Linked DNA regions of Nothobranchius furzeri. The protein of the gene in region 2 binds, or shares a complex with, the protein of the main gene of each other region. Links are inferred from orthologs where the notes say so. Each region holds a gene or a part of one and is shown on either strand. Other genes may lie near its edges.

Region 1 (4,041 bases), on a different chromosome or scaffold from region 2:
CCACGTGGGCAGTGAAAATGACGTTTTATTGTTGTTAAATGCTTTAGTTCTCTTTTATTAGCTTTTAGAAATGATCGTTTTTCTCCTCAGAATTTAGTTTTTACTGATTTTATCTGAAAATGTTCATTGAAAAAAGAAACATTAAAACCGGCGCTCCAACATAAAACATTTTCTGTGAAACTCGCCTCAGATATTACTTCAGCATTACTTTTACCGTCTTAGAGCTCAGACTATAATCTAGATTATAAAAGGTTCAGATTGTTACAGAAAGGTCAGTCGAGTTTAAATGAGACTTAAATGTCCTGCAGCAAATACTTTTACTCTTAAACCACGCAAGGAGTTTTTAAGGATCACACTAATAAAAATAAGTAATAAATACAAGCATAAGCTAAAACATAATCCTTTAATCTGGGGAAATTTGTAGGGAATAATAATTTCATGCAGGTTTGATGCGACAGTAAAAAGCTCCAGCAGCTGAATTCGTCTAATCTGTCGCTGCAGGACTTTTACGTTCGAGTTTTTGCTTTTCCAAGATGATAAATCAGGAAAACGGGACCAGAAATAAACAAGAGGAGTAGCTTTAGTTCTTAAGGTGGATTTAATCCACCTTAAAAAGGGGAGAGATGTAAATATTCTATTATTTATGCACGTTTGTCTTTGTTCAAACACAAATAAATCCTGTCCTGGACTCTGCGCTTGTGAAAATCCACCTTTACAGAACAACACGACAGGCAGGTTTTACCACGGAATGATGCGGCGTTCCCATCTAAATGTTCCCATTAACTGGAGAGCAAAGCTCTGCTATCTTGCTGTTGAGTTTCTGATTGGTCCAGTCCCTGGTGATGTCATCCAGGTGGCTGTCGAAGTCTACCAAGAGGGAGTGGTCACCAGAATCCAGCATCTGGCTGGCGACATCCCGGATCTCCTCCCACTGCCGCAGCATGATCCTGAACAGACCCACGGAGATCATCAGTTACACGCGCCGGCCACTTTGATAGGTACACAAATAACCGATCAGCCAATCAGAAGGTGGCAACTCCGTGAGTTTAGTCATACAGGTGTGATGAAGTTTAGTGCTCGGCTCACGTGAGCCTGGTTTAAACCACAGACTACCCGAGTGGTGGTGGTGAACCTCAGGCCACCCCCCCGCTGATTCTTACGTGTGTTTGTCTTTGAGCGTCCATCTTGAATCTTTGCGTTCGTACATGACGATCGGAGGAACTCGATAATCTGGAGACATTTTGCTGCCGTCGAGCTGTGAGGAAACAAACCTGATCATAATCTGAGGGCAGAAGGTTCATTATTCATGAAAGACTCATTTAATAAAAACGTTCTGTTTCATCCGTTTTCTCACCATTAATAAAACGGCTCCATCAAACTGCTCAGCGATCTTATCAGCGATCTTCAGCGCGCACGGCGTCGGGCTGTCAGGAAACGCAACACGTTAGCGAGCGGTGGTGGGGTGTATCTGACCATGTGACTGGTGTGGAGAAGCTCACCTGCTGTCTGAGGTGCAGGCGTTGGCCTGATAATACCCGACTATCCTCTGCTGAGTCTGAGAACACCAAACATCCACCTGGAAAAACAAAAGCTTGAAATGTTCTGTGGAAGTTTAAAACATCCTGGAGAATCGAGCGGGACTCCAGGAAGTCTGGAGAAATAAATCCTGATTAAACAGGATCCACCTTCGCATTAGATGTCCTTGTTTTTGCACATTTAAACACATAGCTGCACCTGTGTCCAACTTGATGCAAGCTGAGACAAACATGGCTTTAGGTTTTAACCCTCTCAGGCTCTAAATAAGTTTTAATAAAAGGACGAACAACTAAGTCCTTCAGGGGTACTTCTGAGTTACAAAAATACTCATGAGATACGTGTGTGGAGTAACCAGGTAGGTAAGTTTTAACGTTGCAAATCTGAAACGCCTGTCTCCAGAGGGTTAATCTGGATCTGTTAGGACGACAGCTGCCCAGTTTATAAAAACATCTGCTTTCCCTGGTGTTCAGTAATACCCAGTAGGTTGTACGTTTTAATGTGTTTTTATGGATTTGAGTCTTTTATTTTGGCTTTAGTCTCTTAAAAGCTATCCTAGCCGTTAGCCTATCAGGCCTGTCATCACTAAACAGGTAAGATACGGATTAGTTATAACATTTATACAGAAACATGCCAACATAATTAAAATACACCTTTAAGTTCAGAAAAACAGAGAAGACTTAAACAGTGACTCAAAGGGGTACCAAACTGTGCACTACACCTGTGTGAGAGCCAGCTGCGTGATGGGGGCCAGCGACAGGTGCGAGTGCAGCAGCGGAACGCAGTCCGTCACACAAACAGCGCCACCTGCCGAGCTGGACGAGGACAGCAGCAGCCCGTTGACGCTGCAGCGCGGAAACAGGCAGGCGTGCAAGTACATCTTCACGTAAGCCCGACAGGAGAGCTCCACCTCGCCCATAGTGGCCCTGCGGAGGAGAAACGGGAGCTGTAACACCCAGGCCAGGGTCGAAGTAGCATCAGCTCACAGCTGTGGTGGTGGGCAGCTCCGAGTCAGACCGGAAACGTCCCTGCATGGCTGCGTTTGCTGATGCTACTGTCGCTAGCATACCGGCTAGCTAGGCACAGAAACCTCTCTCTGGTCTTACCTGCTGAGGAATGTTTCACAGTAGAGGTTCAAAACCTAAATGGTAACCCTTCACAAACTCTGGGAGTTTATTAAATCTTTACCAAAGCCAGTACGAGGCCTGTTATTTACTCACAAACGGACTAAAGCCACACGGCCGTCACTAGCTCCACCCAGAAAATTATTTGTAACGTTTTGATTGGCTTAGACAGGGTCTAAACTGTGATTGGTGGGAAGAACGTGTTCTCTTAAATGACACGTGCGCCCTCTAAAGGACAGGAGGTAGATAGCGGTTTAATACGGAAATATACTTAATCTAAAATATTTTTGCTCAGTTTTGAGACAGATTCAACTTTACGGAATTTCACATCGATTAAAATGTAGAGTTCCCTGGACGTCTCAGTCCCTACACCTCCAGCAGGTCCCTGAGGTCCAGTGCACACCAAAACCTACTGGATGTGCAGCTCACCAGGCTAAAGGTGACAGATTCGCTGCTGTGGCCACCAGACTGGTCCTTTCCTGAGCCCGAGATCAGTAGAATCCTTTTAAAAGTTCCTGAATTCCCTGTTCAAGCTGGCTTTTAATTCCCTTTGTCACTACCTTATCCTGCCCTTACATAGTCATTTTCCCCTGCAATCCACTGATTTCCCTTACAATTTCAACTTAAATTTTTTTTAAGTTTCTTTGTGAAGCACCTCGTGAGTTTTAACTTTAGGTGCTACATAATTTTGCTTATATGCCCCAAATCTTTTGTTACTGCAAGACCATTTTCCCCATGCTTTAAAGCCAATGTTTAAACACGTTTGCATTTGAACCCACACTGGTAAACCCTGATGGTTCAGAAACATGTTCCGCCAAAAATAAAGTTACCTTCTGGTTTAGTTCACTGTACTTTCTTGCGTTAAGTCAAAGGTAAACTGCAGATCTAGATCTGTTTGCTTTTATTAATGTAACTGAATAGACAGGCTCAGAGCAGAGCAGATACCACTTCTTAATCTAATGACCATTTAAAGCTGGGAACCAAAGACCTATACCTGATCCAACCCAATCAGAATCACTGCTGTTATATTTCAGTTCCCATAGTTTATGGAATGTTCCAGTTACTCTTCAACTAAGGGGAGACAAGAAATCATGGTCCACTTGAAACACTACAAGAAAGGTTAGAAAAGAAACGAAACTTTACAAAACCCAGTTATTAAGTTACATGTTTTTATTTGGAAGTTCTCATGGAGGTTCACTCTCACCACTTTTCTGCACCTGGGTGGGGATAAATAGTTTCAGATGAGATTGAAGAAATAAAATATGTAAAATAAGGTTACTTACTGACCCACTGAGACAGGTTGGTCTAGTAATAACGCTTCTTTGGAGACTGAAGTTTCATCATTTGGTGAGGTTTTTGCGGCCACTTGGAGAAGTGGCTTGGT
Region 2 (3,989 bases):
TCACAGGCACCTTGGCAGCCAAGGGAAGCCCTATACCCCAGAGGACAGTGTGTGATTGTTTTAATGTGGTTTCTTTGGTATTTGGTGTTCCAGCAAAAACTCAACCACACATCTACTGACTGCCATGTGCAGACTTGAAAATTACAAGGACCCACATTGCCAGAGCGAGCATAACTTAAACTGTACACATTGTTACTGTTTATATTCCAGAAAGAGATTATGACATTTTAGCTTTCTCCTGTGAGCGTGCACTTGTCTAGTCCTGATTAAATCAAACTGTTCTAGCATACTGCTGTTCCTTGTCCTTGTTGCCCTTTCACAAGAGAAAATCAACAAAGCATGTAACATGTGGTATGCTATGTGCAATGAGCTGCAGTGGGTATGACATTACATCTCTGATGTCCTTAGTAAGCAAGTTTATGCTGTGGCTGCATCAACAAGTGTGTGATGTGGTATAGGAGAAATGTGTAAGCAAGTCACACAGCGTCCTGGGGGAAATCAGGATAAACTGGTCTATATGCTTAATAAGCGCATTTTATATTTTGTGAAAAAAAAAAATTCTAGGGTCAGCGGACCGTGCTTTTTAGTACTTTGATGAAAAATCAAAACAATGAAAATGGAGCACAAGATCAATAGTGCTCTGCTGGCCATTTGGTGCTTTTTCCTGAATTACATAATTCAAGTTTGCAGTATATTGGAATCATATTTGTGGTGAGTTTTGGCAAGAATATGTGTAACATTACTTTTATTATTTATGTGATATGGCCAAATATGTGAATTATAATAATTCTGAATGCAAATACTGCAGAAAATGTACTGTCAATAGAAAATGAATAATTATCAAGGGTATTCAGTCTTAATGACTATGAAAATATTACCAATACACATTTCATGCTCATTCAATACCTGCTATTAATAATGTTTGATCATGTGATTTTTTTATCATCATCATCATCATCATCATCATCATCATCATCATCATCATTATCGTCACCACCGTCATCATCTGCTGCTTTCTAAGATGTTGGAACAAATGTAGATGGATTTCTTACTTTTGTTTTTGCAAATTCATCACCTACTTAATCCATTACGAATAATAATAACAATAATAATAATAATAATAATAATAATAATAATAGGGTTTTGCTACATTTAAATTTCTTTTTAATCCTGTGTTCTTTATATCATAATAGTAGTCGGGTCATCTCTCATTCATCCAACAGGTATGACGTACGCATGCTCACACTGTCCTCTGGAAAACATGGCGTCTGTATCAGAATTGTACGATGTGGGATGGGAAGGTAAGAAGGTCAATCCTTCTCGTGCATGACTGTGGCACGTTTTGATATTTTTTTTCAGACATTCAGTGATTCTTCGTGTAAGGGTTAGGGTTAATGTCTCCGTTGTCTCACCGTTGAAGTACGCTCAAATGAGAAGGCTGCCTTTGTAGCACTTAGCCAATGCTAGTTAGCTTGGTGAGCTAACCTGTCATTTTTGCGACAGACAGTAGTTAATACCAGCGTTATTCTTCTCCTCGACCCAGTTGATAACGAGTTACAGTACAGCGGTTAATAAAGTGTAAATTATCAAGTAATTGATTAAGAACGGGATGTAATAACTACTAGTACATTGTAAACGGGTACGGGTTACGAAATTAGCCAATAATGCTGCGACAAAAAACAGCTTTGGACGGGGATAACATTAGTTTTTACTACAGGTCTTATTTGTTTTCTAAGCTCTAAGGTCGTGTAATGAGCATCTAACTATTTTATTGTGAAACAAAAGCCGACAAAACTAACTTCGGATACGCTATTTTCCACGGAAGTAAGGTTACAGCTAGCATGAGTTTTATTAGCTGTCTAATAAACCTGAGCGTGTTTAGAAAAACAGTAGATTATGTATGTGAACTAAGGAATAAAAGGCTTAAATGCTGAACTGTGATGCTGCCAAAACTTTCTTATGATTGGATGCTTTTTTCACAGAGATGAGAGACAAGTTACGTAAATGGAGAGAAGACAACAGCAGGAACAGTGAACAGATAGTGGATGTTGGAGAAGAGCTCATCAGTGACCATGCATCTAAACTGGGAGATGATGGTAGGCATTTGTATTTTATTCGCCGGTTGACATAATTTTGCCTCATTTTTTTTCAAAACTGAGAAATTTCGGAAAAGTAAACAGTTTTTAATTAGTAACTCACTTATTCACACATACTAATTATCTGAGTTACTTATTCCTCAGTAGGGTTATGGGAAGCTGAGATCTAGCTGTCACCAAGTGGAACACCCTGGACAGATCTCCAGTCCATGACAGGACTACAGAGAGACAACCAGTCTAGGGCTGCAGCTATCGAATATTTTTGTAATCGAGTACTCTTATCGAATCTTTTTTTCGATTAATCGAGTACTCTAATAAATTACCCTTTTGTGTTTGTAAACCATTATATCAAATAGCATGTTATAATTATGAAAGACCTCTTAAAATGAGCAAGCAATTGCCAGTTATTCTTCAAGTTTTATTCAAAATTAGTTTTCAAAACTTCAGCACTTCAACTTTACTTCACAGTAAACAAATGCCTGTGCAAAAAATAAGTAAACAACCTGAGCCGATTTTCCCCTCGTGCGAGAATCTGCTAACCTGCAAGCCAGAGGATAACTGTTGAAGTAGCGCTGCGAGCGGCTGCGGCCCAAACAGAACCAGAACCGCTCACGGCGCATGCGCAAACAGCTCGCCGGCTGTTTCCCTATTAACACACGTCCGTTTTAATTTCTACACTTTTTTTCTCACACAATAACAAGGATTGTCGAGAAAGCATGTTTGCTGTGGTTTTGTCAAATTATACTGATCGCAAAACATTTATTTACTTTCTTTCGTTTTCCTCCGCCACTCATAAATACCTGTGTCCTCCTGCAGAAACCCCGAGGGACAACGGACATCAATAACACAATAAAAAGTCCGACGTGTTGTGTAAAACAATTTTTTAGCACATTTTAAGTTTGACGTGTTGCTACCAGATGTATGGTGTGAGCTAAAACTGAGTGCTACAAACGAAAAAGTCGCACAGCATCTGCAGAATATATAGAAATACAGGCTAAAAAGCATTATCTTGTAGAGGCTCTGAGTCCGCTTGCAGAAGTGACATTTACAGGTGCTGCAGCACGGAGGATGTGGTGTTGTGCTAGGCTAAATCCATTTTACAGTATTTATACTGGACTACGTTTTCCACCATACGACGTGAAAAATGGTCCCACACCTTTGACATTTTGTGTCTTTTTAGAACTCCACCGGGGTCTACGTTGTCCGCCATGGCTTAAGAGAAAGTTAAGTTACGTTCGCTACTCGCGTGTGCATTCAGCCCAGTGGGCATGTGCATGTGTTATTTCGGTCCGGGTGAAACATGACCCCGGGCGATTGCAAAGCCATGAATTAATATGAATTAAACGAATCCTCGAGGCAGAGAATTTGACTCGAGGATTTTTTGTACTCGAATTATTCGAGGTATTCGAGGAATCGTTTCAGCCCTAAACCAGTCACACACTCACTCACACCTAGGGATTATTTATGGCACCTTCACATCTGTCCTCGCCCAGTCTCATCTCGGTAGCGTCTTCCCCCTCCTGCGTGGCCAGGTTTTGTTCACAAATGCGGCTTCCATATCTGGTTTGGTACGGTACGGGCTGGATAGCTTTTTTGGTTTCACATCTGGGCAATATGTGCATTTTCTGTTCTGAGGTGACTTTTGCCAGACATCTTCCTTGGCGGTCCGACTGGAATCGAGTTGTTTTTAAAGGACCGTAGCGTTTGCAAAACGGGATTTGCCGCGGCACCCTGGGGAAGATTTTGGCATTTATATTAGCAAAGCGGAAGCTAGAATATACTGCCATCAGGCACCTCTCAAACCAAGACGGGATAAAAGGAGGTCGCTGGGCGGCCCCCCCGTATGTGATGTACAGGGTCGCGCATTCAGCGCAGTCTTAGCGGAAGACACGT

What was found. The genes of interacting proteins can lie anywhere in the genome.
Region 1: emc2 (region 2) and emc9 share a complex: the UniProt entries of both Homo sapiens proteins name them as parts of the ER membrane protein complex. The link is inferred for Nothobranchius furzeri from reciprocal best matches to the Homo sapiens genes EMC2 and EMC9.

Annotation. Positions count from the first base shown.
Region 1 is NC_091747.1:62,729,114-62,733,154, forward strand, and holds emc9 (ER membrane protein complex subunit 9), read right to left. Parts: upstream 2,802-4,041; 5' UTR 2,640-2,801; intron 2,460-2,639; 5' UTR 2,453-2,459; coding exon 2,255-2,452; intron 1,577-2,254; coding exon 1,500-1,576; intron 1,425-1,499; coding exon 1,355-1,424; intron 1,256-1,354; coding exon 1,161-1,255; intron 948-1,160; coding exon 767-947; 3' UTR 8-766; downstream 1-7. Other genes in the region: uncharacterized protein, read right to left, coding at 3,963-4,041. UniProt on the Homo sapiens protein: Part of the endoplasmic reticulum membrane protein complex (EMC) that enables the energy-independent insertion into endoplasmic reticulum membranes of newly synthesized membrane proteins.
Region 2 is NC_091745.1:54,005,923-54,009,911, reverse strand, and holds the start of emc2 (ER membrane protein complex subunit 2), read left to right. Parts: upstream 1-1,176; 5' UTR 1,177-1,225; coding exon 1,226-1,301; intron 1,302-1,982; coding exon 1,983-2,096; intron 2,097-3,989. UniProt on the Homo sapiens protein: Part of the endoplasmic reticulum membrane protein complex (EMC) that enables the energy-independent insertion into endoplasmic reticulum membranes of newly synthesized membrane proteins.